Linked DNA regions of Tamandua tetradactyla. The protein of the gene in region 1 interacts with the protein of each later gene in a pairwise test. Links are inferred from orthologs where the notes say so. Each region holds a gene or a part of one and is shown in the gene's direction. Other genes may lie near its edges. The genes, in order: LNX1, TRIM54, KHDRBS3 and SRSF1.

The links.
Region 2: the proteins of LNX1 (region 1) and TRIM54 interact in binary tests that used the Homo sapiens proteins (3 or more experiments, as listed by UniProt). The link is inferred for Tamandua tetradactyla from reciprocal best matches to the Homo sapiens genes LNX1 and TRIM54.
Region 3: the proteins of LNX1 (region 1) and KHDRBS3 interact in a two-hybrid assay, tested with the Homo sapiens proteins (2 studies listed by BioGRID and IntAct). The link is inferred for Tamandua tetradactyla from reciprocal best matches to the Homo sapiens genes LNX1 and KHDRBS3.
Region 4: the proteins of LNX1 (region 1) and SRSF1 interact in a two-hybrid assay, tested with the Homo sapiens proteins (3 studies listed by BioGRID and IntAct). The link is inferred for Tamandua tetradactyla from reciprocal best matches to the Homo sapiens genes LNX1 and SRSF1.

Annotation. Positions count from the first base shown.
Region 1 is NC_135345.1:53,898,034-53,905,008, reverse strand, and holds the start of LNX1 (E3 ubiquitin-protein ligase LNX), read left to right. Parts: upstream 1-3,952; 5' UTR 3,953-4,369; intron 4,370-6,975.
Region 2 is NC_135329.1:11,235,703-11,242,677, forward strand, and holds the start of TRIM54 (tripartite motif-containing protein 54), read left to right. Parts: upstream 1-3,953; 5' UTR 3,954-3,998; coding exon 3,999-4,217; intron 4,218-6,202; coding exon 6,203-6,375; intron 6,376-6,975. UniProt on the Homo sapiens protein: May bind and stabilize microtubules during myotubes formation.
Region 3 is NC_135332.1:179,346,755-179,353,891, forward strand, and holds the start of KHDRBS3 (KH domain-containing, RNA-binding, signal transduction-associated protein 3), read left to right. Parts: upstream 1-4,117; 5' UTR 4,118-4,167; coding exon 4,168-4,255; intron 4,256-7,137. UniProt on the Homo sapiens protein: RNA-binding protein that plays a role in the regulation of alternative splicing and influences mRNA splice site selection and exon inclusion. Binds preferentially to the 5'-[AU]UAAA-3' motif in vitro.
Region 4 is NC_135332.1:38,936,231-38,944,183, reverse strand, and holds the start of SRSF1 (serine/arginine-rich splicing factor 1), read left to right. Parts: upstream 1-4,951; 5' UTR 4,952-5,097; coding exon 5,098-5,291; intron 5,292-5,724; coding exon 5,725-5,909; intron 5,910-6,259; coding exon 6,260-6,432; intron 6,433-6,634; coding exon 6,635-6,829; 3' UTR 6,830-7,953. UniProt on the Homo sapiens protein: Plays a role in preventing exon skipping, ensuring the accuracy of splicing and regulating alternative splicing.

The DNA of each region.
Region 1 (6,975 bases):
CAGCTCCTGCCCTCGTGAAAGGAAACCTAGCTGGGTTTAGGAGATGGGGTATGTGTTGATGAGTAAACTCTGTTTTATATTAAGCAGCTAGGCAAATAAATAATAGACTTTAAAATTGTATAAAGTGCTATCAGGAAAAAGAGGAAGGTATCTCTAGGAAATGGACATTTGAGCTGAGACTTGAAAAAGGAGAACGTGTTAGGCAGGCAGACAGGGAAAGAGAACAGAGTGGTATTGTGCATGCATGTGTGTGGGCGGAGGTCAGTGGGGACCAGCTCAGGGATGGCAAAGCCATTCCTGAGCATTCAAGAAACAGGCAGCAAGCTCGTATGGCTGGAGGGTACTCAGTGAAGGAGAATGTAGCAGAAGCAATGTTGGAGAGGTGAGCAGGGACCAAATTGTGCCAAATCTAGTGATCCATGTTAGGGGTTTTGTATTTCATTGTGAATGCAATGGAAAGCCTTGAAGCTTTTTGACAGGCTAATGGCATATTCTGACTTTCCTTCTTAAAAGTCTAGTCTGGATGTGGTGTGAAGTCTAGATTTGGTAGAGGGACTGAGGTCAAGAAGTGAGGCAAGGAGGCCTTTTAGGAGACTAACTGCAGTAATCTGGATGAGAAAGGGTGGATGGGTAGACTGAAGTTAGCAGAAACAGAGGGCACTGGTTGAAGTTAATATAAATTTCGAAGGTATAATTCGTAGAGCATACTCGTGGAACACTTGGATGGATGAAAAGGTCATTTACTGGGAAACAGGAGGAAGAAGGGGAAAAGATTAAGAGTCGGATTTGGATGTGTGAAGTTTGAGATGGCTGTGAGACACCGAGAAAGTAGTTGAAAAGTAGAAGAGAGGTCTGGACCAGAGAGATATGAATGAGAGAGTTGCTGGCATAGAGATGGTTGTAGAAAGACAAAACAGAGTTGAGTCTGCAGATTACAGCATTTTCTTCAAGACACCAAAAGTTTTGCTGTAGCAAGTAAGCCAGATCACTTGCAAAAATGAAGCAGCTTTGAGCTCCTAGGGAAGGCAAGCAATTTTTATAAACATAAAAAGGAAGTCACCTTGACTCCTATTGATTGGATGGAGGTTTGTCCTCCATCCAATGTTACGTGGGTTTAACACAGATGGGCTTTATTTGGTATTGGGTCAAATATACTGAATTAGGGGCTTGATCTGAGTTGGCTACCTTGGTGGAGATTTCAAATTTCAAAAGCTTTCAGGAAGAAACTCAAGAGGGAATTCAAAGAGGAAGTTGTGCTTTTTGTTTTGTTTTGTTTTGTTTTGTTTTGGCTCTAAGAGGTTCCCGGGGCTTTCTCTATATGATTTTATCGTGGTACTTCAAGCTTTCCCTCATTGTCCAATCCATTTGTAAGGATAGGTGGGCAAACTATAAGTTGCATACTCATGATCAGGGAGAGGAAGGCAATCAGTCTGTAACAGTTCAGAGAAACAATTTTCTATCTCCTAATACGATAAATCCATTTTCATCCTGAGTATCTTGTAAAGGTGAAAAAGGGCCTGAGCGAAAGAAAGCTGGGTCAGATGATTTCTTTGTCCCAGTTAGAAGACTGAAATGGCTGCTCCATCATTTTACATTTCTTGGGTTTAATATCCTTCCTTCAAAATGCACCAAGAATGAGACAATTTTCTCTGCACGTAACTGGGCATATTACTTTTCTGGAACACTCTAAAAATAGGCCATTTGTCCTTCTATAGTGAAGGCATGCTTACTTTCCCATAGTTATTAGGGTTTAATTACATCTGGACATTTCTGCTGAGTTGGAATCTGTCACTCTCCTAGAATCTCCCACACCAAATGGAAATGACACTCTTAAGCCATAGAGTTTAAGCAGGCTCAGGTCTCCATGCTGTGGGCTGCCAGGCAGTGAGTAATTCTGGCTTTGGAAAGGGCACGTTTGTAAAGCTAAATTAATACGTCCTGTTTTCATCCGTGACTTCTTTCTGTTTCCAGTTTTAAACAATCAGCTGCCTTGGTTACATGACCATGCAAAAAAAATTTTTTTGAGGTGTGTGTGTTTATCATCAATCCCAGAATGGACCCTACTCTTGGAACTGAATCAATCAGTACTGATCCATATGCTCAGAGGAGAGGAAGGAGAAATAAAATCCATCTACCTTACCTTTCTGAATGGAAAATCCCAAAGCTTCCGGCAGTCCCCAAATCTGCTGTGAAGCAGATGAGGAACATGAAAGCTTCCATTACATCAGCTCCTTTCCAACATTTTGGTTTTTCATTTCAGATGATAAGGTTGAAAGGCCCATTTGACTGTTATAAATTGCCTCTCTTCATCAAAGAACTCCAAAACCAGAGTCTGTAAACATTTCTAGATGCTGCATTTAATTGTAAACTACTGGGAAAGAAAAATGAAATGATATCTAAGCTAAATGCCCAGACTCTTTCCAATCTTCCTCTTTATCGCTGCAGCTCTGGTGAAGTTGTCTTTAGTCTCCTTTAAGAAGAATGAAAAGCTGACCAACCTCAAGTTTGAAGTCTCATTTGACCCTAAGGCAAAATACTCCAAGCTCCCCCAAACCAAATCCAAGGGCAACAGGGGTGAGCAACTGTCATGATGTTGCAACTTGTATATTTGTGAAAACTGACAACTTGGTCCTCTCTGGGAGCCATCTCCATGCCTGCTAATTAATGGTTTTACTTTCCTTTGACTACCTGCCAGCTGTCTTGGGGTAACCACCATGGCACAAGAGAGTTAATTGCTAACAATTGGAAGTCAAGATGAAGGCAATAAAACCCGAGAAAGTCTAGTGTGACCTGAGGACTGAAAGCCACATGTGCTGATTTCTCACCAGCAGAAGTTTCTGGGCTGGGAACTTAGTTTCATCCCTTGCATGAATTGTTGATTAAAAGAAGCTTGTAACTGTCAGGCTCCTGAAGTCAAAAGAACAAACTAGTGATCGAGCCATGACCAAAACTCACACGGAGGCCAAAAGATTTATAGAGCACATCCTTGCTTGTAAATAAAAAAAAAGACAGTGGAGAATCAAAGACAGTCAGAAGCCAGCAGCACCAGGTTTGATCAGAGAAGGCAGTAGGTGCCTGGGTTATATGTGACCTACTTGATTGTTGAACATGAGATAGCACCAATTAACATATCTGGAGAGAGACCACTTTAACTGATGAATTAGAATTCTATTCCCAGAGCCAATCTTTCATTTAAGCCAGGTCTTTAGCCATCACTGAAACTATCAGCCCCCAGAAATATTTAAGCCTACCTGGTGGAAAAAGCAAGACTGAGAAAAACAGTTTCAGCAATGCAATTCTTAAATTTTGAACTAGCTGGGTCATTGTGTGGGAGTGTCTAAACCTCTCTGAGCCTCAATTTCTTCATCTACAAAATGAAAATTATAGGATTATAGTGAGAATTAGATGAAGTAATGCAGGTCAGGAAGTTAGCACAGGGCCTGGCACAGTAAAATGCTCAACAAATATCAGCACAGATACTACTGATGCTGCTGCTGTTTCTGAAGGTGATGGTGATGGTGATAACGAAGAATGAGCAGAATCCTATATCATTAGAGTTTAAAAATCATACATAATGTCAGCCATATTCTTGTTCATTCTTTTTCTGCAAACACTAACTGCTGTTCACCTATGAATGGTACTGCTTATGGAAAATCTTTGGAAGTTTTGGCATAATACTGGAAAAAAAATCATGATTGCTTGATTTGTCTAATGTAGGTAATTTAGCGTGTTTCTTTGTACATTTGAAAACAAAAAGATGCTCAGGATTCTGAGACCAGTCCAGGAGCTACTAAGCCCCTGTCTCTTTAGCAACTAGTCCCAAGCAGGAGGATGTCCCAGGCCTAATGATGACCTGAAGGTGCAGTGACGCTGTGTTTGTTTCCTTGTTGATTTCCCTTTCCTGGCTCCAAGCTCATTTTCCCAATGCCTGCAGGAAAACAACAACCAAGGGTGCGGTAGGCCTGACTTGGCAGCCCTAAAGGTGAACAAAAGGATCCCGATTTTTGGCGTGAGCAGAAGGAAGTTCCAAGGAGCCTCAGCCCCATTCAAAACAGGGCAGATATGTCACTAACGATAATGAGTGGCTGTTCAGAGGTGAGGGGTGGGGGATGGGTACGGCTCTCCCACACGGCTCCCCACTGGCTGCTCTCGGGGTTTATGGGTCTGCTCTGCTCAAAGCCTCACAGAAAGGGCAGGCGGTGCGCTGATTTACTCCTGAGTGTAGACAGGTGGATGGTCTGCATGTGCGTCTGGGAGACAAGACCCAGGAAAAAGAAAGAAAATGTTTCTGTGCAGAAAAGCTGAGTTTCCAAACGGACTGTCACCTGAGCCTTCACACAACTGGGGACTGATCCACAACGAAGCAAAGGTAAGATGCCTGCCTAGTTTCTCCACCTGCCAGGACCCCCCACAGTTTGGGAAAACTGCCCCTGACACCCTAGTCTCTGACATCTGCCTTTACCTGAGACAAACACACACATACAATCAAGTTCTTACAGAGGCAGAAGTATCTAGCTATGTCTTTTTCAAGACCTAGAAAGGCCCCAGGACATTTGCTTTTCTTACATCCATTTTTTTTTCTTTCCTCACTGCTCCTCATATAAACCTCTTTCTTCCTTTATTCTCAGCAATGAAAAACACTTGCCATGCAAGCCAGGGTAAACATCAGCAATTCTTTTCATGGTAATTGGATTTTAGGTAGCATTATACTTTATCCCTATTCACACAAATGTTTTGTTTCATTTCTGTGGTAGGAGCAGGTATTGTCTTTGCATTTTCACCCGTGGAGAAATTTAGCTCCAGGGAAATTGTGACTTTCCCAAGGGCACATAGGTAGGTGGTCACTGGCAGCAACTCCTGCCCCCATTCCTGCCTCTTTTCAGTAGAATATTGACTGTGTTTTCTAAACAAACACCAGGCGACATTCTCTGGAACATATTCTGACAAATAGTCTGATGAGAAAATGGATTTTAGAAATTGGGACGCTCCTGGAAAATCCTGAAATAGATAGTGACAGCATTCAGTGCAATATACCCCCTTGTTATTGATTCCTGTTTACTTCCATTCTTGGGAATTGAAGACAGTTCAACAAATGCTGATAGACTATGTCCCCTGGAACCAACTCTGGGTCACATGTCAGGATGTGGTGCCAGCTCTATGCCCAGGGAGCCAGAGGCAGAGGTTGTGTGTGAGAATAGTCTCCTGGGGAGGTGAGCTTCACACATGGGCTTTGCATACGGTGAAAGCTTGCTCTGTGGGGAGAGCATTTCAGATCAGCAGAGTTCCTGAAATATATCTCAACCAGAAAACATTTACAGCAAGACGGTGGCAGTAGGGCAGAGGGGTGAAGCCTGGCCTGGGGGATTACATTGTCTGGCCTTGAATCCTGGTTCCATCTCCTACTAGTACTGCATTCTGGGGTAACTTAATTCATCCCTCTGGCCCCAGTTTACTGACATGTAAAATGAGAATAATGGGAATGCCTACCTTATAGAATTGTATTAAGGTTTAAATGAGATAATGCTATGAAGGTTTGCTGGCACATAATAAGTGCTCAGTAAATGCTCTTCAGGAAATGATTACCATCTGCCTGGGAATACAGATAGGGGGTTCCTGTCCTCGATTTCATCAAACTTTTGTGAGTTAGCTATACACAATTAACTGTGTGCTCTGTGACAAATGCTCTGGAATCTCGGAGTCAGGATCTGCTCAGTGTGTGGGAGTTGGATTCTGGGTGAAGTGGAAGAAGGCTACACAGCAGAGGGCCTGTGTGTAGAGAGGTGGCATAGAACTGTAAAAAGAGCTCTGCAGATTGGTTTTCTAATCCCAGCATGATCTCCTCCTAGATGCATAACATGACCAAGTTATTAAACGTCCCTGAGCCTCTATTTCCTCATCTATAAAATGGGGATGATACTTAACTTGAAGAACCATTGTGATGATTAGAAACAGAACACATAGAAGATGTATCCCAGGTTCCAAGCCTTACAAGGTGCCTAACTGGCAGTGGTTTTTCTTAATGATACTTTAGACCAAGTCTCAAATGAACATGGTCTCCCCTCACAATCCAGATTACAGGTGAACACCGAAGAACTGCCCCTCAGTTATTTATCTCACAGACTATTCTAAGAGGACAAAGGAGACCTCAAGTGTTTCCATGTCTTGGTTCTAGCAGATGAGCCCATTGTCAGATAAGTTAGATGGACTGTGTGATCATCTCTGCAGGTACAGCATCCTCTTTCTTTCCATTGTTCAGGAATCTGTCCACTCTTTACTAAATGAGAGAGATGAAGATTACCTACCTCTCTTGCCTTGGCAGAGCAGCCGCAGGCAGCAGATAAACCTGGATTCTGCCTTTAGGGCAACTGCCCCAAGCTTTCTCCACCCAAAGCAGCCTCTGAGTACCTGTGACCTGCCAAGTATGGGAAGCATTATACTTCCTGACTTAGCATATTCATTACAATGGATATAGATATAGACACATCAATGTAGATGTAAATATAACTATAGCTGTAGATCTATAGACCAGATGTTGCTATATAGATTTTTTTTTTTTTGGAAAATATCACAAGCTTATACAAAAGTTGCAAGTACAGTACAGTGAAAAGTATGGTAATAGAACTTTTGCACTATCTTTTTCCTGAACCATTTGAGAGTTAGCTATCAATGAGATGCCACATTATCCCCCAACACTTTGTGTGCATTTTCTATTAACAAGGACATTCTCCTCCATAACCACATTATACCCATCAAAATCAGGAAATTAACACTGATACATTATTACTATCCACTCACAGAACCCAGTACATTTTCATCAACTGTCATCTAGTCATCAGGCCAATTCAAGTTGTTTCTAATTGTCCCAACTATCCTGTATGGCCAAAGAGCACATTTCTGAGCCAAGTGTTGCATTTAGTTGTCATGTCCCTTTAGTCTGCTCTGGTATGGAACAATTTCTCCATACTATTCTCTCCT
Region 2 (6,975 bases), on another chromosome or scaffold:
ACCTAATTCTCTAGAACAAAAATAGTTCATGCTTTTTTTGGAGGGAGGGGTGGGGTGGGGGTATGTGAATGGCACAGGACTCAAACCTGGGTCTCCTGCATGACAGGTGAGCATTCTACCACCGAGCCATCCATGCACCCCTCATGATTCTTTTTAAGGCCATTATATGAAGTCTATAGGATGGGTTGATAATACCAAATCAAGTATATGAAAATTAAAGTTTTATAATAATGACAAAGAAATTTGTATTACTGTACAACAAATGTGTTGTGGCTTTTAAATGTTCAGATTCTTTTAAGGAAACATACATAAGACTCCTCTAGTTGTTAGTAGATGGTTTTCCTATATGAATTCTATTATAGTTTTGGTTAGACTGTTCTGGTCTCCAAAATGCCTTCTCCACACCTTCGCGCAGGTACACCCCTGCCCCAAGGCAACCCTCCATCTTTCACTTTGGTGGGTCTCAGCATCTCTTCCACCCTTCCCCATAGTGGGGTCCTAGGCGGCGAATGTCAGGGACCTCACATTTGTATAGTTTAGTGCTTTATAGTTTACAAGGGGGTATCCCAGCATTCTCCCATCTACTCTTCTCAATGAGAAACCTGGGCTGTAGATAAAGCAGAGACCAATAGCCTCTTTTAAAGATGGAGAAACGGTGACTAGTATCTTCATCTCTTGACTGCTAGCCTCACGCCTTTTTCCACTGCCTGGGTTTGGACAACCAGCTCCTCTTTGGTCACTGCAGTGTCCTCCTCCTAACGGAGCTCCCTGGCTCTCACCTACCTTCAGTGTATCCTCCTCACATAACTTTTCTAAAATGGATACTCGATTACATCATTCCTTCTGCTTAAAGCTCCTAAATGGCTTCTCATGCCCCTACGAGCAGAGTCCAGACTCTGGAGAGAGGTACACCAGGCCCTCAGGCGCTCTCCTTCCCCATTCCACTGCCTACACGCTCCCGCCAGCACCCAGCACCGCTCAGTCCTCCGGACATGGCCAATCCAGATTCACTTGTAGGCTTTTGCTGACCCCCTTCCTTTGACCTGACACACTCTTTCCTCCTTCCCTGTCCCTTTACCGGGCTCACCCTTAGTCATCCTTCAGAATTAGCAGAGACATTACTAATCCCCAAACTTCCCTCCCCCCTTAACTGCTCAGTTAGGTGCCTACAACAGGTCTTTGGGTGGCTGCCTGGTTCTCCACCATTCCCTTCAGAGGCTGTGCCCAAACCCATGCCCTTCTTTTGGAGCTGTGCTCTTCTCCCTTCCCTGGTGGGAGCTGCTGTCTTTGACTCGAGCCTCAATTTTTTTTTTTAATATATTTTTATTGAGAAATCTTTACACACATACAGTCCATACATGGTGTACAATCAGGTGGCTCACAATATCATCACACAGTTGTGTATTCATCATGATGATAATTTTTTAGAACATTTGCATCACTCCAGAAAAAGAAAAAGGAAAATAACTCATACATACCACACCCTTACCCCTCCCCATCACTGACCAATAGTATTTCCATCTATCCAATTTCTTTTACCCTTTCTCCTCCCTATTATTTATTTATACTTTTTTTAAAATCTGTCCATACCCTGGATAAAAGAGGCATCAGACACAAGGTTCTCACAACCACACAGTCACACTGTAAAAGCTACATCTTTATATGATCATCTTCAAGAATCAAGGCTACTGGAACACAACTCAACACTTTCCAGTACTTCCCTCCAGCCACTCCAATACACCATAAACTAAAAAAGGATATCTATATAATGCATAAGAAAAACCTCCAGGATAACCTCTCAATCCTGTTTGAAATCTCTCAGCCACTGAAACTTTATTATGTCTCATTTCTCTCTTCCCCCTTTTGGTCAAGAAGGCTTTCTCAATCCCTTGATTCTGGGTCCCGGCTCATCCTGGAAGTTCTGTCCCTCATTGCCAGGGAGATTTACACCCCAGGGAGTCATGTCCCACATAGAGAGGGGAAGGCAGTGAGTTCACCTGCCAAGTTGGCTTAGAGAGAGAGGACACATCTGAGGAACAAAAGAGGTTCTTGGGTGGTGACTATTAGGCCTTAGTTTATTTTTTTTTCACATTCATCATCATGATCATTTCTTAGAACATTTGCATCAATTCAGAAAAAGAAATAAAAAGACAACAGAAAAAAATTCATGCATACCATACCCCTTACCCCTCCCTTTCATTGATCACTAGCATTTCAATCTACTAAATTTATTTTAACATTTGTTCCCCCTATTATTTATTTTTATCCCATATGTTTTACTCATCTGTTGATAAGGTAGATAAAAGACGGATCAGACACAGGTTTTCACAATCACACAGTCACACTGTGAAAGCTATATCATTATTCAATCATCTTCCAGAAACACGGCTACTGGAACACAGCTCTACACTTTCAGGCAGTTCCCTCCAGCCTCACCATTACATCTTGACTAACAAGGTGATATCTATTTAATGTGTAAGAGTAACTTCCAAAATAACCTCTCGACTCTGTTTGGAATCTCTCAGCCATTGACACTTTATTTTGTCTCATTTCGCTCTTCCCCCTTTTGGTTGAGAAGCTTTTCTCAATCCCTTGAGGCTGAGTCCAACTCATTCTAGGATTTCTGTCCCACGTTGCCAGGAAGGTCCACACCCCTGGGAGTCATGTCCCACATAGACAGGGGGAGGGCAGTGAGTTTGCTTGTTGCGTTGGCTGGAGAGGAAGGCCACATGTGAGCAACAAAAGAGGTTCTCTTGGGGGTGACTCTTAGGCCTAATTTTAATTAACCTTGACCTATCCTTTGTGGGGTTAAGTTTCATATGAACAAACCCCAAGATTGGGGGCTTAGCTTATGGCTTTGGTTGTCTGCACTGCTTGTGAGAATATGAAAAAAAAATTCAACTTGGGGAAGTTGAATTTTCCCACTTTCTCACCATTCCCTGAAGGGGACTTTGCAAATACTTTTTTATTCACTGTTCAGATCACTGTGGGATTTATCAGGGCATCACTCTGGACAAACCAACAACATCTCATGCCCTACTCAAGATTCCATGTACTTATGGTGTTCAATTAAGCTGTCTACATAAGTTATATTAGGGAATTTGGCCTCATTTTAAGTAAGTTTAGCCTATCCTTTGCAGGAATAAGTTTCATAGGGGTGAACCCCAAGATCAAGGCCTAACCTATTGATTTGGTTGTCCCCACTGCTTGCGCATATATCAGAAATTCTCCAAGTGGGGAAGTTGAATATTTCCTCCTTTCTTCCCCCCAACTACGCAAGGGGACTTTGCAAATACTTCTTTATTCACTGCCGAACCACTCTGGGATTTATCGGGGCATCACATTAACCTGAGCAAGTCAACAAAACCTCACACCCTATCCATGATTCCATGTACTTAGTGTTCAACTAAACTGAACATAGGAAGTTAAATTAAGAAATGCACTACCCAAAATATAGATTTTTCACGCAATAAACATCATTCCCTTTGGTCTCACACAGAAGTTGAAGTTTTAAATAATGGATGATATCATCCTTTACCCTGTATTCTGATCTACCACAGTCCTATCCAGATTTCTTCATTCATATCTCTACTCAAAGACTGATCACTTTTTCAACTTTTTAAACAGTTCTTGCATGGGGTACTGCTGACTTTCATAGCTTCAGGGTTTTAACTCTGAGTCTCAGGTGTCATATAGATACCCGAAGTTTCTGGGAACGAGCATGCTATATACAAACAGCCAAGCCCCACTTTTGAAAGGGGAACACATGACCCAGCAGGGCCAATCATATTACTTTGCTCCATAGGTCTCAGCAGTTGGTCCAAAGTCTGAGCATCTGCCCCAAGCTGGGCCAATCAGAGTCTCCTCAGAAATTTTCAAAATTTTCAGATTGGCTGAGAGAAACCCATTCTTCTTAGAGTGGGAGAAGATGAGGCTGGGGGGATATCAGCCAGGAGTTGGTCATACCCACTGATACCCTTTCCACCACCACTTGTTGCATGGAAGGAAGTTGTGCTGTGGTTTGTTTCCAGCCCACTTTTGCAGCCAAAAGCAACCTGTGTGACAGAATAGCCTTTTTTTCTGATTCAGGGCACATTGGATTTCAAGAATCAGAAAACTGCTCACGTATGCTTAAAGAAAGAGGAGTGATCATAAGAATTTGGAGAATTTCATTTAACCTAATTGCAGGAAACACATCTAAATATGGAAAGTCACAGGTGATTACTTTCTCCATTACAATCTAAGTGTACAGGATCTTCTGGGTGTTAGGATTAGGTTCTGCTGTGACAGAAAATCCCAAACTGGCTGAAAGAAGGTAAGAATTAGTGTTTTCTCTCAAGTGTAAGTATGGGCAGGCAGACCAGGACTGCTGCTGTGACACCATGCTCATCAGAGGTCTGCTCCTTTTATCTTGCTGCCCTTCTCGGCATGTGGTACCATCTCATGGTTCAAGACAGCTGCTTCATCTCCAGCCATCCCACATTCATTCCAGCCAGCAGGAAGGAGAAAAGGGCAGGAGTAGGGTGTGTGCATTTCCATTAAAGATACTTGCACAAAGCACTTCTGCCTATACCAAATGGCCGGGAGATAGCAACATGGCAACATCTAACGAGAAAAGAGGCTTAGATGCATGGTCTTTATTCCAGGCAGTCATGTGTCTTGCTAAAATTCAAGGACTCTATTATTGAAGAAGAAAGTGGGGTGAGGGGGTGGAGATCAAGGAATGACAAGCAGTCTCTGCCTATTTTTCCTCCTGGCTTCTCTCTACATATTGGCTCTTTTCTCTTCTCTGCAGACCTGCCTTCTCTCTAAGGCTCATAGCTTCTGCCCCCCACACCGTCTACTTCCATTTGGGTGGTCATAATGTCAGCTCTTAGCCCAACTCCATAGGCCTTTTCCAGAGCTGCACTTGCTCAAGCCACTTCAGCCTCTATGTCTCAAATCCAGATTCCTAGGAGAGAATATCTGGCCTTGCTTGGCTCAGTTGATCACCCTCTCAACTCTGAGACCATCACCTGTGGCCAGGAATAGGTAGTCCTAGGCAGGGCTCTCCCTTTTAGGATGGGAGGGAGCAAGTGCTCTAAGAAGAGGGTGTACATGGGAAGAAGCGATGAGCATCTGTGGTACATCCTCCTTCGGAGCTTACCCTTGTCATGACACCCATCCTGCAAGAGGCAGTTTTCTGTTTGCTTGTCCTTAGGACAGGGATATGCATTTTGTTCATATCTTTATCTCCTGGGACCTAGCAATTACCTGGCATACTCAGTCAATATTTACAATAGAATGAATACTCCATTCTAGTCCTTTAGAGAGGTTGAATGCTTGCCCAAGTTCACATCGTGAAACAGTGTCAGGGACAGCACCAGAGCCCAGGACTCCTGGACTCCCAGCCCCTGGAAGCATTTCCCAGAATCACCCAGCTGGTTCAGCCGGACCTCTGCTTGTGCTCCCACTCAGTTCTGCAGAGAACCCACTCAGGGTCCATTTCTTATCTTAGCTCTCCTATCCAGGCCAGTTTCTCCCTATAGCTCCATGCCAGGCCCCTTTGGAGAAATCCCATCCCAACAAGGCTGTCTTAATTTCACAGCTGCTACAACAAATGCCACACAGTGGGCTGGCTTAAACAACAGGAATTTATTGGCTCACAGTTTCAGAGGCCAGAAGCCTTGCTTCCTCTCAGGTTTGGTAGCATTCTGGCTGGCTGGCAATCCTCGGGGTCCTTGGCTGTCCTGTCACATGGCATGTCCTCTCCTTTCTCTTCTGGGTTCTGTTGCCTTCCACATCTACTCCTTCACATGGCTTCCTCTTCATAAAGCCTCCAGGAAGAGGGCGAAGGCCGAACCTCATCCGTTGACCACCCCTTAACCAAAATAGCATCTTCAAAAGGCCTTGGCAATGGCTTCCCACCCATAGGAACGGGCTAAGATGAAGGACATGTTTGTTCTGGGGTATGCACCTTCTACGCCTTGGCCACAGCTAAGCTCTGGACACACAGACACTCAAGGAGCTAGAGCTGAGTAGTGAGGCAGAGTGGGAAACACGATGTCTATGGCCACCCACACTTTGTTGCTCCCAGAGGAAGCCCCAGCTGTGTAAACAGGCTGATGCCTGCCCCTCCACCCTTCCCCTCCTGCTGCAGGCCCTTGGCCTCTCCTCCAGCCTCCCCCCAATTCCCTGATGCCTCGTGCTGCCTCCCCCGCAGGCCTCCAACCCCCTGTGGCAGTCCCGGGGCTCCTCCACTGTGTCCTCGGGAGGCCGTTTCCGCTGCCCTTCCTGCAGGCACGAGGTCGTGCTGGACCGACATGGGGTCTATGGCCTGCAGAGGAATCTGCTGGTGGAGAACATCATTGACATTTACAAGCAGGAGTCCTCCCGGTGAGCTGTCAGGGGTTCCCGCCTCTCCAAGGCCTGGGGCCTGGGACACAGCCAGGGAACCCATCCAGGCCAGAAAGGGAAAACAGAAACCAGCCACCTACCCACCTCTTCAACCTCTTCAGTTTGGAGATGAGAGAATGGGTTACAGACGGGGGTGGGGAAAGCGCAGAGGTGGGGGAGCGGGGGAGTGGGGGAGTGGGGAGGGATTTACCCTGGGTGCTTTGATATGGTTACGTTGGCTCAGAATATCTACCCACAGTAGCTGATGAATTATCCACCCCGGGGACATGTGCAGATCATGGCAGGAGGGCTCCCCTGAGATTTGAGATAGTTTCCCTTGTTTCCATGACAAGTGGGTCATTCCGGTTGAAGTCTGGTTGAAAGCACCTGTGAGGTCCTTGTCAGCTCTCCACGTGGGACTTCCCTGGCCCTGGGATACAGATCATGTGAGGCTCTTCCTGGATCCTGGCCTCTTCTATTCCTCTCGCTCTTTCTATTTCCCAAACTAAGAGCCCAGTGGGAGGCACCCACCAGCCCACACAGCCCCAGTTGCAGGAGCAGAGGGTGTGGTGGTGGTGGTGGTGGGTGGTGGAAGCTGAA
Region 3 (7,137 bases), on another chromosome or scaffold:
GGGGACGCCGGACCCCGGCGGCTTCCCGGCAAGCGGAGTCGGGGAGGTGGGCCGGGGTGGGAGTCGGGGGGGCGGTGCTCGGCCAGGAAGACTCGGCCGCGGACGCGCAGGGCAGGGGGCTAAGGAGGCGGAAGGCCTCATCCCGCGTACGGGATAGCGTGCGTGTGAGTGTGTGCACGCGTACACGTGCGAGTGTGCGGGCGTGTACGTGCTGTATCCAAGTCTCCCTCACCACCCATGGGTCACTCTCTGCGCCACTGTCCCCTCGTCTCTAAAAGCCAGGGCCCCCCGCGGGTTGGCCGGGCCCCCGCAGCTGCCCGTGGGGTCTCTTGCAGGTTGCGTGAATGAACCGCGGGGGGCGCGTTAGGACCGCAGCCTGCGGCAGAGGCGTGCCTGACTTGAGGCTCGGTGGCGACCCCGACTTGGAAGAGCTCCCCGGTGCCCCCGCAGTGGCTGGCCAAGTTTTCAGCGTGGAGGGCAGCATTTCCTGCTGAACCCGGGAGGCGCCGGGGTCGGGAACACTCGTGGGGCCTCCCTCCTCCCTATCCAGACATCCACACTACGGGCTTTCTAGGCAAGGTCGGGCCACCTTTGGGGGCTTGTCTCACGTGGCAAAGTTCTGTGCCCCAGGGCCCGAGCAGCCTGCACTGGGGCTGCGATTAGGGGGCATGGCTTGAGAACCAGGGGCCCGGGGCTGGGGCGGGCAGGGGCTAGGGGCCGTGGTCGCCTGTGTGCTGAGTGACCTGTGGGCAGGGCATGGGCAGAGCCGCCGAGGCCAGTGAGGAGCACTCTCAGGCTGCAGCCCGCTCCCCCCGCAGTCCTGAGAGACCCGACTTCTCCCCTCCCTGTTTTTTGGGACCCCGAGAGCAGCTGACTCTCCATCACACCGCCCCTAAGGAGGGGAGCCGGGGCCCAAACCGGGGTCTGTCTGGGCGCAGAGCACACCAGTACAGTTGGACGTTGGCCCTGCGCCCGCAGTACTGCAAGCATTGGGGGAGACCAGGCTGGGGCTCCCCTTTCTCCAATAGAAGGCACAGGAGGCTCCCAGCCAGGGCAGCGATCCCGGGCAAACGTGACAGCTGTCTCCCTCACACACACTGCCACCTTCATTCTGTGTCCTCAGGCAGTTGGGCAGCGCCTGACCTCCTGCCCTGAGTGTGATCAGGTCCAGGGAGTGTTTGTCCTTCTCTCCTGGGCTGGGGGGCTGGGGGTGGTGTCCCGGCGGGTGGCTGGGACAGGAAGGACTTGCTGTGGGGGCAGCACGATCCTGGGAGGGCCCTGGGGTCCCGGGTGAGGTGGGTAGGGGAGGCCCCCCTGTCTTGGGGGCATGGAGCGAATCCGAGGGGAGGGGGCAGTTTCTTATTTCAACGCAGAGTAAGTGGTCCCTGGAGGCCTCAAGGGACTCAGGAGAACTGTCCACGTTGTATCCCCGATGCCCAGGGAGGCAGTGCCCGTAGGAGGTGCCGTGCAGCCAGCACTCCAATGAGTACCATCACACACCCCACCACGCCCCCCTCCAAGACTGCCTGGGTGTCAGGAGCCCTGAGTGGGTGCTGCCTGCAGCCGCTGGCCAGAAACGAGGCCCGGATTGAGTTTCTCCAAAAGGATCCATGTCAGGGCCCTGCAGAGGCGCTCTGCCCCCGACCCCACTGGGGACAGTTTCCTGAGCATCTCACGGAGCCGTGTGTCTCCTTCCTCCCTGGAGGACCCAGGGGTGTGCTCAGGGGCCTTAGGCAGAGTGTTGACTGCCCTGACGTGTACATGGTGATAAAAAGTATCTTCCCTGCAGGTATCGAGAGGACTGGAAACAGTGACTGCAAAGCACCCAGCACGGTGCCCGGCACTTAGTAATGCTTTCTAAAAACCTGTCCTTACTGAAGGTTGGCCGAGTGGCTGGCGCAGAAGGCCCACATGGAAGATGTAGAGGAAAGAGAGCCATGGGGGGGTGGTGCAGGGCCCAGGGCCGGATGGGAGCAGCTGTGCCACTGGTCCCCATTCTCCCCTCTGCGTGTCCCCGAGGCTCTTCCTCCCTTCCTCCCTTTCAAGCAGCTGCCGTGGGTCCAGACTGCAGTCCTGTATGCAGGACCACAAGCCAGGCGCTTCCATTCAGGGTTAAAGGAGGAAACGTCTCCCCATGAAGCCTTTAAACTGCCTCTGGGACAGCAGACACAACGGGGTTTTGGAGATGTAGGTCTGCGGCTCTGTGGGGTGAATCAGTGGGGTGTCACGATGAATCACCAGAGGAGCTGGCACAGGGGACGACCCTGCCCTGCCAACCCCGCTCTGGGCCGGGGGTCACTGGGGTCATGCACTGGGTCCTGGGTGGGGACCCTGAGGGGTGGTGCTGGCTAAAGGCCCCTGGGGCCACAGCTGAAGGGAAGCACCGTGCAGGAGGCAGAAGAAAAGGAGGCATGGAGCCATTGAGTTCACATGTCAAGGTGCACAGCTCCTGGGCAGCAGAGCCATGATTCCAAATCCAGGTCGCCTGGCCCAGAGGCCACACACTGGGCCATCTAATCCTCTTGCAAAATCCTTGTGAGAAGGTTCTACTGTACCTGGTAGTCAGGTCAGAAGGCGTGCTTGAGCATAAGGGGACTTGGGCACGGAGAGTGGGGGCTTTAGCAGCAGTCTGCAGTCTCCTTTGGTTTCTTCTCCCTGGTTGTACAGCTGCCTCCATTTGCATTTAAGAATCCAGGGGGTGTGGTGGGGGGGCTGTGAGGACGCCCACAAGGGGCGGCAGGGCTCTAGCTTATTCCTTTAACAAACTGGTGCTCCCCAGGCCCTCGCCCTGTCACCGGCTGCGGACCCTCCCCCTAGCCCAAACCCTACCCAGACTGGGAGATGCTCAAGTGTTCCTGCTATGGCGGTGGGGGTGGGGGTGGCGTGGTGGGGGGGAGGGAGGTCGTCCTTGGAAACAGATCATTACTGGTCTCGCTGGGGAGTGGCCAGCTTTGCAGGGAAGTCCGGGAAGGGTGTCCAGGGAAGGTGACATTGAGGCTGGCTCTTGAGCTTGGAGTTTGGGGGGGGGGGGAGGCAGGAGTCCTCAGGCCGCTGGGATGTGTGCTGCACATACGCTGGGAAATCTGAGCGCAGCGTGGGGGAGCCTGTGTATCCGGGGGCGTCTCCCCGCGAGGGGACTGGGCAGCTCGTTCATCCGCACCCAGGCACAGCCGGTTCCACCGGCGAAGAGAATGACAATGGGGTGGCAAGTCGGGTGTGACAAAGACGCCCTGAAGGGCACGCGCTTTTATGTAATCGGCCTCGGAGCCACGAGTCCAGGAGGCGGGCGCTGGGAGCCCGAGCGCCGGGCGCGGGCTGCGCCCCCCGCGACGTTTTCTTGCAAATGCAGAGGCGGGCCAGGCGAAGTCAGACGAGGAAGGAAATCCAGGGCGCGTCCAAGGGCGGGCGGCTCCCCCCGTGACCCTCCTCCGCCGCCTGGGGCCAGCGCCAAGCTGGGGCCCCTCTCCTCCCTCCAGGCTCGGCCCTTGTCCCGGGGGGCTGTGTGCACACCCCGCTTTCCGGGCTCACTCTCCGGGTGACCTTGGATGAGCCACTGAGCCTCTCCGGGCCTCAGTTTCCCGGCCTGCGCCCTACCACGGCACCTCTGCGGCCTCTCCCCGAGGCCCGCGCGCCCCCAGACCCCGCCCGGCGCGGGCCCGGCCCCCCGCGCAGTCCCGGGCCCCGCGAGGCGGTGCTGGCGGCGGCGGGAGGGCGCGGCGCGCAGGCGCGGCGGGCGGGGCGCAGCGCGGGGCGGGGCGTGCAGGCGGCGCGAGCGGGGCGCGGGGCCCGAGCGCTCAGAGAGCGCGGGCGGCGCTGGGCGTGCGGGTCGCTGGCTGCCGGTGCGCGGCGCGGCTGGCGGGGCGCGCGGGGACTGCTGCAGGGTCGCGGCCCGCGCCGCCCGGCCCGGCCCCAGGCGCCGGCTCGGCTCGGCGGCGGCGGCGGGAGCACGGGGCAGCGTCCGGGAGGCAGCGGCCGCGGGCGCGGGCGCGGGGCAGTCAGCGGCCACCGGGGACCGGGGCCGCGCGGTCGGCGTCCGCACCTGTGCCGCCGCCGCCGCCGGGTCGTCCGCCCGGCTTGTCGCGCCGCGCCCGGGTCCGCGCCGCCGGGGGCGCGGGGCCGCCGCGGGCCGCCTCGAGTCGGCGTCCCGGGCCCCGGCGGCCGGCGAGCATGGAGGAGAAGTACCTGCCGGAGCTGATGGCGGAGAAGGACTCCCTGGACCCCTCCTTCACACACGCTCTGCGGCTGGTGAACCAGGGTGAGGGCGCCCCGGCGGTTAACTGTCGACCGGGCCGTTGGGGCCCCGGCGGGAGCGGCGGGCCGGGTGGAAGCGTGGGGGGCTGCGGGGTGCCACTGGCTGGAACGCGCTGGGCGCTGGGGAGAGACATCGCGGAGGCTGTGGGGAGGGGACAGATAGGAATCTGGGGGCATTTGGGTGGGGACCCGCGAGAATATGGGACTTCTGCTGGAAGACGGGGATGTGAATTTAGGGGGCTTAGGAAGAAAGGAGAAGACTGGGGGGCGGGGTGTCGGGTGAGACTTGAAGGGAATCTTTGGGGACTTGGGGATACCCCAGGGAAACTTCTGGACGGGAAACAGATGGGGAAGAATCTGGGGCTTTGTCGGGGAGGAGGTTGAATGATCTCATCGGAGAAGAGAGTGCGGGGGACAAGGGGAACTAGGGCATTTGGTTTGTTTTAAGGGACTGGAGAAAGAGCTGGAGGAACATGGAAGGATTTGAGGGAAACAAGTACAGACGAGGTGAAGTAGCAGGTGCTTGGATTGTTGGTGAAGTTTGGGGACCTTGGAGGAGGTTTGGGGTCAGACCCAAAGCATCTTTGAAGAAAAGGATCTAGTGGTCCCAGTGGAGGAGCCCTCTGTTCCTCCCATGTGCAGGAGGCACTACAGTCTGCCCTCCCTGGGGGTAGGCATCTCACCAGCCTGCAGCCTGGCCCTTGGAGGAGTCAGTAGAAGAAGCGGGCACAAGAGCCCCCTTCTCGACTGACTTGCTTCTCCTCTTCGGGAAGCGCTGGGTGGGTGACTCTCATTAGTGTCTGGGGTTCAGAATATTGGCAGAGGAGTCCTCTCTGCCTGTGTCGTCGTAGCACCTGTCCGTCCAGCTGAGCGTGAGAACCTCCGGGCAGTCGGGGTCGGGGCCGCCTGCCCTCAATGTCGCCTGGCCGGGCCCCTGGGCTTTGTGAGGAACCTGCTGGGATGCCCGGTAAATGAGTCCCTCGGGAGCAGCCCCGCCCCGCCTGCGCTTGGAACCCGCGTTTCAGCCGAAGATGGATTGGGGGGCGGCTGGTTGTCTTTCGGGGAGGACAGAAACGGTGTCTGGTCAGAGGCTAGCTGGTGACCGAAATCGCCCTGGGTGGCCAGCGCGTGGTCCCCGAGAGAAATCGGATCTGCCGTTCTCAGTGCTAGTCCTGGCTCTTCTCTCGTTGGAAGTGAAGGAGGACGTGGTTAACTCTTATTTGATACAGAGATTTTTACATTTGAAAACAGCAACTTCTAATATTTGCCTGATGCAACCGGTTCTTCAGAGGAGGGTGTGTGCTGTCGACTGGTGGAGAGAGGATCTTACTGTCTCCAAGAATTTGAGCATGCTGTCTGAATTGCTGAACAGGAATGGGTTTACAGAGCGTCCCCATTTTATTCTAATTGCAGGCTTATTTTTGTTTCTCTAATAAAATGGATTTGTGAAAAACTAATGGGCATGTATTCTTAAATGAGAGAAAAAAAATTAGGTTTTATTCCTGTACTGTTTGTTCTGAACAGTTCTCCAGTTAGGTTTGTATTCATTGTTCTTTATGATTTACGTATATCTCTTTTTTGCCTGCTGGGCTGTTATCTCTATGAAAGAAATTTCTTTGTACATTGTGTGAGATCAGTGGCATGAGAAATACTCTGAACTGGGCAATTGAGTACATTTTTCTTAATAAGGAAACAATCAAAGTTGTGGTGTACTCAGTTAAGGAAATAACCCAACTGAAAACAATAAGTTATTTCAAAAGTCAATTATTTTTGTGTATCATGTTGGTGTAGCGTTGTGTTGGTAATACATGGGAAATTCTTTTGGTTTCTGTTACTTCCAGTGTCAGTGGCTTGCAGTTACTTGAAACAGGTATTGGAGAAATGTTTTTGTTGTTGCTAAGCTGGATTACCTTTACTTTTCCATCAGAAATGTAATTCTTGTGAGAACGACAGTTCTCACGTTGAATGGGATGTGAAGGAAGGAAGAGGTGCTCCTCCTGTGTTCTTAGGAGGACTGTTAATTCAGATTACTTCAGACTAATGTTTTCCCTTCACATCATGGGCAGACATCCAGAGTGCAAAGCCCTGCAATTTAAAATATTAATTATACTCTGTTATGTAACTTCATGCTCACTAGTGAACTTTTAAATAAAGCACAGTGTCTTGAGTCTGAATTAGAATCGATAGTTAGGAAGCTTTATTTTAACATCTGAAGTTCATCTCAGTATTGGCGATGTGAAAAGATCTATTCTTCTTTAGCTAAATGTTTGGCTTTGTCTCTGAAAACCATGCTTTTCAGGGGTTGTTCTGAATCTCGACCCTGGAATTGATATTCCGGCTCTAAATTGTGCAGTGATAATGGGTCAGCATTGCAAACCTTTATTTTATTGCCAAGTGACATAAAGTAGATGTATTTTACGGTTTACATCTCCAGATGCTCTCAGCGCCTTATGTTTGCTTAGTATTTTAAAGTTGCCGGGGCACTTCCCCCTTCTCGCCGAGGCAGCCTGCAAGGCTGGAAGGGGGGGGGGGGCGCCGCTTCTTTGGGCGCACGGTGGGCGGCCGAGATCTGATTTGAACCCAGGTCTCTGGGTTGTGCAGCTCTCTACTTGTTCTTTCCACCTTGGCCCTCCACCAGAGAGGAAATGAAGTACTCCTCATACGCGCCTTCAGAGCCCTGCAGAAATCAATGTAGTGCACCCCATCGTACCTGAGGGCTCAGCATAGGGAGGACGACCTGCAGGAAGACTTCCCTTGATTTTTTTCTCCTGAGTTTCTTTCTGGACATGTTTTCCATGGTCTTTAAAGATTCAAACTATGGTGCATTCACTGTATAAGATTTTCGTGCTTAGGCCAAGTATCACTTTGGAATTAAAGAACTCCTGT
Region 4 (7,953 bases), on another chromosome or scaffold:
ATTTGGGTCTATTCTCTTTGGGGTGCGCTGCACTTCTTGGATCTGTAAATTTAGGTCTTTCATAAGAGTTGGGAAATTTTCAGTGATAATTTCTTCCATTAGTTTTTCTCCTCCTTTTCCCTTCTCTTCTCCTTCTGGGACACCCACAACATGTATATTTGTGCGCTTCATATTGTCATTCAGTTCCCTGATCCCCTGCTCAAGTTTTTCCATTCTTTTCCCTATAGTTTCTGTTTCTTTTTGGAATTCAGTTGTTCCATCCTCCAGTTCACTAATTGTAGCTTCTGTCTCTTTAGATCTACCATTGTAGGTATCCATTGTTTTTTCCATTTTTTCTTCTTTGTCCTTCACTCCCATAAGTTCTGTGATTTGTTTTTTCAGATTTTCTATTTCTTCTTTTTGTTCAGCCCATGTCTTCTTCATGTCCTCCCTCAATTTATTGATTTGGTTTTTGAAGAGTTTTTCCATTTCTGTTCGTATATTCAGCATTAGTTGTCTCAGCTCCTGTATCTCATTTGAACTATTGGTTTGTTCCTTTGACTGGGCCATATCTTCAATTTTCCGAGCGTCTTCCATTATTTTCTGCTGGTGTTTGGGCATTTGATCAGATTTCCCTGGGTGTGGGACCCGGCTGGTTGAAAGGTTTTTCTGCGAAATCTCTGGGCTCTGTTTTTCTTTTCCTGTCCAGTAGGTGGCGCTCGTGGCGCTCGTCTGTCTGCACAGCAGTCGGCCTGGGAAACCGCGCGTGGAGGGGGGGTCGCTGGCCGCCGCGGCTTGGGAGAGTGCCGGTCCAAATTGCCCAGCTGGCCCGAGATGCCAAGCGTGACGGGAGGGCCCCGCTATCCAACGTTCCCAGTCAGACCGGGGAGCCACGTGCGTGGAGGGGACCCCAGTCGCCAGCCGCCCCAGCCGGGAAAACGCGCGCCCCTCGGGTATCTCACTGCCGCGGATTCTCCCTGCCCGTTCAGCCGTTCCAGAATGGGGTACACTGTCTTTTTGGTCTCTGTCGTGACTCCAGGAGCTGTTTCGTATTGTTTCTGTTTCTTTAGTTGCTTTTCTGGAGGAGGAACTAAGACCCGCGCGTCTTACTAAGCCGCCATCTTCTCCGGAAGTCAAACAGAATGGCTTTTAAAAAGGGAATTTATTAAGTTGCAAGTTTACAGTTCTAGGGCCATGAAAATGTCCAAATTAAGGTACCAACAAGAGTTCACTTTCACTCAGTCAAAGCTGATGCCCTCTGGAATGCCTCTATCAGCTGGGAAGACGTGAGGAAGTCTGCTAGCTTTCTCTTCTGGTTTCTTGTTTCATAAGGATTCCTTAGGGGTCTTTTCCTTTTGCGTTTCCAAGGGTCTTTTGCTGTGTGGACTCCAAAACCTTCTCCATAATGGTTCCTTCTTAGAGGGCTCCAGTAAGCAACCCTACCTTGAATGGGTGGAGACACATCTCCATGGAAACCACCTAATCAAAACGTCCCATCCAGAAATATTTGAAAAGGATTTAAAAACATGGCTTTTCTGGTGTACACAACAGTTTCAAAATAGCACAGAGGGTTTTCATTTACCCCCATCTTTTAAAAGAAAGTTTCATTGAGGTTTAATTTTCATACCTTACAATTCACCTGTCTTAAGTGTTTAATTCAATGATTTTTAGTATGTTTACAGACTTGTGTAACCATCATCACAGGGAGTTTTAAATATTGAGCAAATCACTGAAAAAGTGCATTTGTGATTTCAACCCCTGCAGTAATTAATTTTCAAAATTTTGCAGTCTCTGAAGTAATCATTTCCAGGAGAACGTATGGTGCCAACACTAGTATAGAGTTACTGGATTGAACTGAAAACATTTTGTAAGTTTCTTTTTCAGGAAGCAACTTTTCATAAAGAGCAAGTGTTGAAAATAAGATTGCTTCTGAGAAAAGAGCTAGTAAAATCCATATCAGTTGGTTGTGGGCTCAATCCATAAGACTTCCTGTGAAAGTGTACTGAGTTTAGAAACACCTCGAAACCCAATAAAGGTGAGGATGTAATCTCAGAAGTCAAAACTGGAAGTGGCTGTAATTTGACCCGCAAAAACCTAATCAATTGTCTAGTGCACTGTTTAGAGAACGTTAATGTCAAGATCAGCCTACAGAAAGAATTGTCAATCTTTACCTAGTACTTTCCAGGAAACAGAAAACATCAAATCCGGCGAATATGAATATTCCTTTCTTTAAAGAGGTGTACTTTGTGTACTTTGTTTTTGGGCAGGGATCATTTATCAGGTCTCACCATGATCTGAATGAAACATCCCTCAAAATGATTCACCTCACTTTGTTCTGAGTCCTCATTTAGTAAGAAACAGTCTGCTTTGCTTTCCAGACATTCCAAAACAGTTGTCTTGGCATGTACATTTGAGCCACCTCATCACCAAAACTGAATCTGTCCCTACCTCCAGTAAATGAATAAATAGTTTCGTTTATTTGCCCTCTTGTCTATTAGTGGAATGAAATTTGTTAATCTATTCTGGGACACTGCTGACATTAAGATCCCATTCTTAGATTGTAATAATCACCAAATTAATGTCATTCTGGGAGACCTTGATAAATAGCCATCCAGATTTTCCTTGTCATACCCTAATCCCTTTGATTCCAGAACCTACAATTTGAATATTTTCAAATATAAAAAGGGGTAGCAGAGTTTGTGTCTCAGCTTCCTGGCTAAGATCAAGTGTAAAAAGGCCAGTAGATAAACAAGAAGGTCCTATTCACTCTTCTTAAGTTCTGTTTTGTATTTCTCTGAACTGAACAGAATCAGAAATATTTGCATTGAATTAGACAGACACGAATAAATCAAAACAAATAGTTTTCTTATTTTTCTGAATGAGAGTGTCTTAAAATTAAAAGCACCTATGTTTAGAACACTTCAGTTATCACTGACATAACACAACGTTAATCAACAGATGACTGAGTATTTCTTAAATTGATGGGTAAAAACTGGAAACGAAGACAAAATGTGATCAGTAATTAACTGTTGAAGGAATGAAAAATATATGACCAAAATTAAAACAACAATTCTTATCCATGGTACTGTGCCAGAAATTGAATAAATTTGTTGAAATAGTGTCCTTTTTGGTCTGATTCTTCTCACTAAAAAAAAAAAATCAGGTTCTTTTTTTTATTAAAAGCTCAGTTTCAAAATATATCATTGAAGGACGGCCTGAAAAGGTAATCTATCCTTTCTTTAAAAATTTCAAGTGTTCTTTTTCCTTTTGGAATTTTTAAGAATATGATTAAAATTTCAAAATTTCTCTCCAAAAAAAGTACACACACACATACACATAATTTTGGAAACCATTACAGAGAATTCAAGGACTACCAAAGGTCCTATAGATCTGTTGAGGATCTACAGACCAAAAGTAAGCATTCCTACTCAAGACGTTTCAAACTGAATTTGTATTTTGGGATCACTGAGAGATATGTGTAAAACACATTGCCAGCTTTTAGAACTAAGAAAACATGCCCTTCTCCTGAACAACCAATTTACTTTTTAATCTCAAGAGCACTTTGAATTTTGAAAATACAGGTGTTTCCTTCTTTAATGTGGCTTCTGGGAAGACCAGAGTCAAATTTGAAATCCATCTCTTAGAACTCAGCAGGCTCTTACTGCAGGCATTTTATCTACTAACGTTATCTGAGACGTCATCTTAATTTCTTCCTTATTTTCCCATTCTCCTTATTTATTCATTCAGTTATAATACTGTCTAATTCTATCTCTGTAAGCCTCATCACATCGTTGGGGAGAAGTACAAATAAGTAAACATAATGAAGAAAATCATCATTAAACTCAGGGTGCAGATGTTTTAGCAAATCTGACTGCAGGGTTTTCATAAAATTTGAATTTATTACTAACATTTAAAAATCCTAACATTTCACATAAAAATCTGGGAAAACGTAAAGAGCCAACACTCAAGCAGGATGACAATTCTGAGAAGCAACTGTGCCTTACGGTTAGTCATAGTTCTCACACATTCATTTTGCTAATTTATATTACCTGAGAAGCCAATAATTCAAAACTGTTGTACATAAATATTAGGGGGAACGCTTCAAAAAGGGATTACCTTCGGGATTTTGCAAACTCCCTAAAAATACTTTTTCTTTTTCGTCCTCTGAAATGTGGAAAAACGACAGGCACAATTCATTCTCCAAGCTTTCACTGAGCCTTTCCTCTACCCGAAGCCCAGCAAAGACACAATGAGTGGAGCAGAGGAGGTCTTGGTCTTGGAGGCGGTACGATGTTGTTTACCCCACCGGTTATCAGGTTCCACTTATGATTGTTTAGGATCGCCCTAACACAAAGCGTGTTGAATTGAGCCGTGCAAAAGTTAAGCCCTGAACCGAAGGTGGAACAGTACTTTTTTGCAGAATATTTACTAAGGAATCTAAACTGGCCCTAGGTCTTTTCACAGGTGAAAGGGCGGGAACGCAAGGCCACGCCTTGACTCTCTACTAAATCACCAGTAACACAGCTCCCGCACAGGGTCCACTCTCGGAAGATGCCCTAGTTTCGGGAGCAACCAACTGGTCCCACCCCCTCGACCCCGCCCCCGAAATTCTTTCCCGCCAAAGACCGTTAACACCGCAAAGCATGGTGGGACAAAAGGCTCTAGGCTGTTTCACCAAATCCTTTTAAGGCGCCGATTTGCCTTAAAAGAGGCCCATTCCTGGGGAAACTGACTGTCTTTCAAGGCCCGACAGGCACGAATAGCCCCTTTATCGAAGTCCCGGATTTAATTTTTATAAAAGGCTGGTCACCCCCTTGGCAAACCGCACTGCACAGCGAGAACGCGGGGAACTTTTTTCCCCTTCGTGCGGAGGGTCACGTCGAGCGTGCGTGTGCGTACTTCTCAACGCGCTCGTTACGTTTTGCGCGTGCGTATTGAGAGCGAATCACTACTTCCTCTCGTTTCTCTTCCTCCCTCCGTCGATATCCGTGCGCCCAGCAGATAAAGGCGCCATTTTGGAGGGGCCGCGGGAGACGTGGTGTCGCTGCGGGTTCGCTCTGTTGTGCGCTAGGCTTGGTGGGAAGGCCTGTTCTCCAGTTCGCGCTTTCCGTAGCCGCCATGTCAGGAGGTGGTGTGATTCGTGGTCCGGCAGGGAACAACGATTGCCGCATCTACGTGGGTAACTTACCTCCAGACATCCGAACCAAGGACATTGAGGACGTGTTCTACAAATACGGCGCTATTCGCGACATCGATCTCAAGAATCGCCGCGGGGGACCGCCCTTCGCTTTTGTTGAGTTCGAGGACCCGCGGTGAGGCGGCATGGGGCTTGCGGCTTTGAAGAAATAGGTTGGAGTAGTTGGGGAGGCTGTGAGGCCTTAACATGGAGAATGGGGGGGTGGGGCAGTACTCTTGGAGAGGTTGGGGGCGAGGCAATATCGCCCACGCTGGAGTTGAGTAAGGAGGCAAGTTGGTTTGGCTTCTGTGGTGGCCTGGCCCCATGGACATCCCTTGAGCCGACTTGCATGTTCCGAGCGGGAAACTGAGGAGCTCTGGGCTGTCGTATCGTCTGGAGGCTGGCATGCTTCTGGGTGGGGGAGGGGCCATTTCTATTATGCAGCGCGTGTGGGCTCTTCCACACTCGGTGCGCATGTGCGGGTTTTGATGGTGTACTAGCTCTTGACCGAGTTAAGACTTCCTTTGCCGGACCCTTTTCTTATCTCTTTGCTTTCTGTGGTCACGCAGAGACGCGGAAGACGCGGTGTATGGTCGTGACGGCTATGATTACGATGGATATCGTCTGCGGGTGGAGTTTCCTCGAAGCGGCCGTGGTACAGGCCGAGGTGGCGGTGGGGGTGGAGGTGGCGGAGCTCCCCGAGGGCGCTATGGCCCCCCATCCAGGCGGTCTGAAAACAGAGTGGTTGTCTCTGGTGAGTTATTGCTGTTATGGGTTGATGAGAGGGAACAAACTACTGTAAAATTGTTCTTGTATGCTTGACTTGATAATTGGAAGTTTTCATGCTAGGTCTTAAGTTTTGTTCTTATTGGGTGAATTTTAACGAACAAGGATCGCTGTAATGAAAATGTAACCAAGTAAGATTGCAGTACTAGAATATGAAGATCCTTATTTCGCAAATAGTTTTGGACTCTGGATTCCAGAATCTTGCTTGGAATCATTTAGGTACAATCATTATTTTGACATAATCTTTGTTCTAATGTACATTACACATTTAAGGTGATATTTGAGATACTTGGTATTGAAAAAAAAATCACTTTTCAGGACTGCCTCCAAGTGGAAGCTGGCAGGATTTGAAGGATCACATGCGTGAAGCAGGTGATGTATGTTATGCTGATGTTTACCGAGATGGCACTGGTGTCGTGGAGTTTGTACGGAAAGAAGATATGACCTATGCAGTTCGAAAACTGGATAACACTAAGTTTAGATCTCATGAGGTAGGTTATACACTTATTCTTTTCTTTGGCCAGAATTGGATACAGTGGTCTTAACAGTGGAATTTGAAGGTAAGGATTCAGGCAAGGGTGTCCAAGTAAAGTGCCAGATCATTTCTGGTTTTAGTTTCATTGATTCATTCAGCATGCCTGAAGTCAGGTGAAAGCTTAGATCTTTCAATCGAAAGTTCTGTCTATCCACTAGGGAGAAACTGCCTACATCCGGGTTAAAGTTGATGGGCCCAGAAGTCCAAGTTATGGAAGATCTCGATCTCGAAGCCGTAGTCGTAGCAGAAGCCGTAGCAGAAGCAACAGCAGGAGTCGCAGTTATTCCCCAAGGAGAAGCAGAGGATCACCACGCTATTCTCCCCGTCATAGCAGATCTCGCTCTCGTACATAAAATGATTGGTGACACTTTTTGTAGAACCCATGTTGTATACAGTTTTCCTTTACTCAGTACAATCTATTCATTTTTTAAAATTCAAACTGTTTTGTTCAGAATGGGCTAAAAGTGTTGAATTGCATTGTTGTGTAATATCCCCTTGCTCCTAACATCTACATTCCCCTCATGTCTTTGATAAAAATTGTATTTTAAGTGATGTCATAGACAGGATTCTTTAAATTTAGTTAACTCTCCATGCTCTTCAGACTGTGATAATGTGTAAATGTCTATTCTGCTCTGGTTTGTGTGAACTGGGATGTTGGGGGTGTTTGTGGTTATCTTACCTGGGGAAGTTCTTATGTTTATCTTGCCTTTTCATGTGTCTTTCTGTAGACATATCTGAAGAGATGGATTAAGAATGCTTTGGATTAAGGATTGTGGAGCACATTTCAATCATTTTAGGATTGTCAAAAGGAGGATTGAGGAGGATCAGATCAATAATGGAGGCAATGGTATGACTCCAAGTGCTATTGTCACAGATGAAATTGGCAGTATTGACCTTATACTAAAAGGCAAGGGTTAAAAAGTAAATCGACCTTAAAAGACATGCAAACATCTTATGCAGTTATGTGTAGCTACAATTGCTTTGCTTTTTAAACCTTGGCAATTGTGGCAAAATTACATTGCCCATTTTGTAACAATTTATTTTGCTCCCTTCCCTCTTTTTTTGTTTTAATAGGGACTAATGTGGGAAGAACTGGCTAATTTTGTCACAGTGCTTAGTTACAACTGTTAATGTGTGACCTGCTGTTGGTGTACATGTGGGTACAGGGTGTCTTTTAATTCCAACCAGATAGAGTATAATATCAATACTGCTAAATCTGCATGTCCTCTGTGTGACTGATATAGCGTTGCTATTTCATTTTTTTAAGACAAAATGAAAACAAAATACAGAATTTCAACATATTGGTGTAGATAATTTAGTTGGGAATACGTTAAGTCTCACCTTCCCCTTTAATATTCATGATTGACTCATGCCTAAAACACTTAATTTACAAATTAAATTGCAGATGGGAACGTTAGCTTTAGTTTAGACTTAGGTGGGTACCAATACCAGTAAACTTTTCAACTACATAACTTTT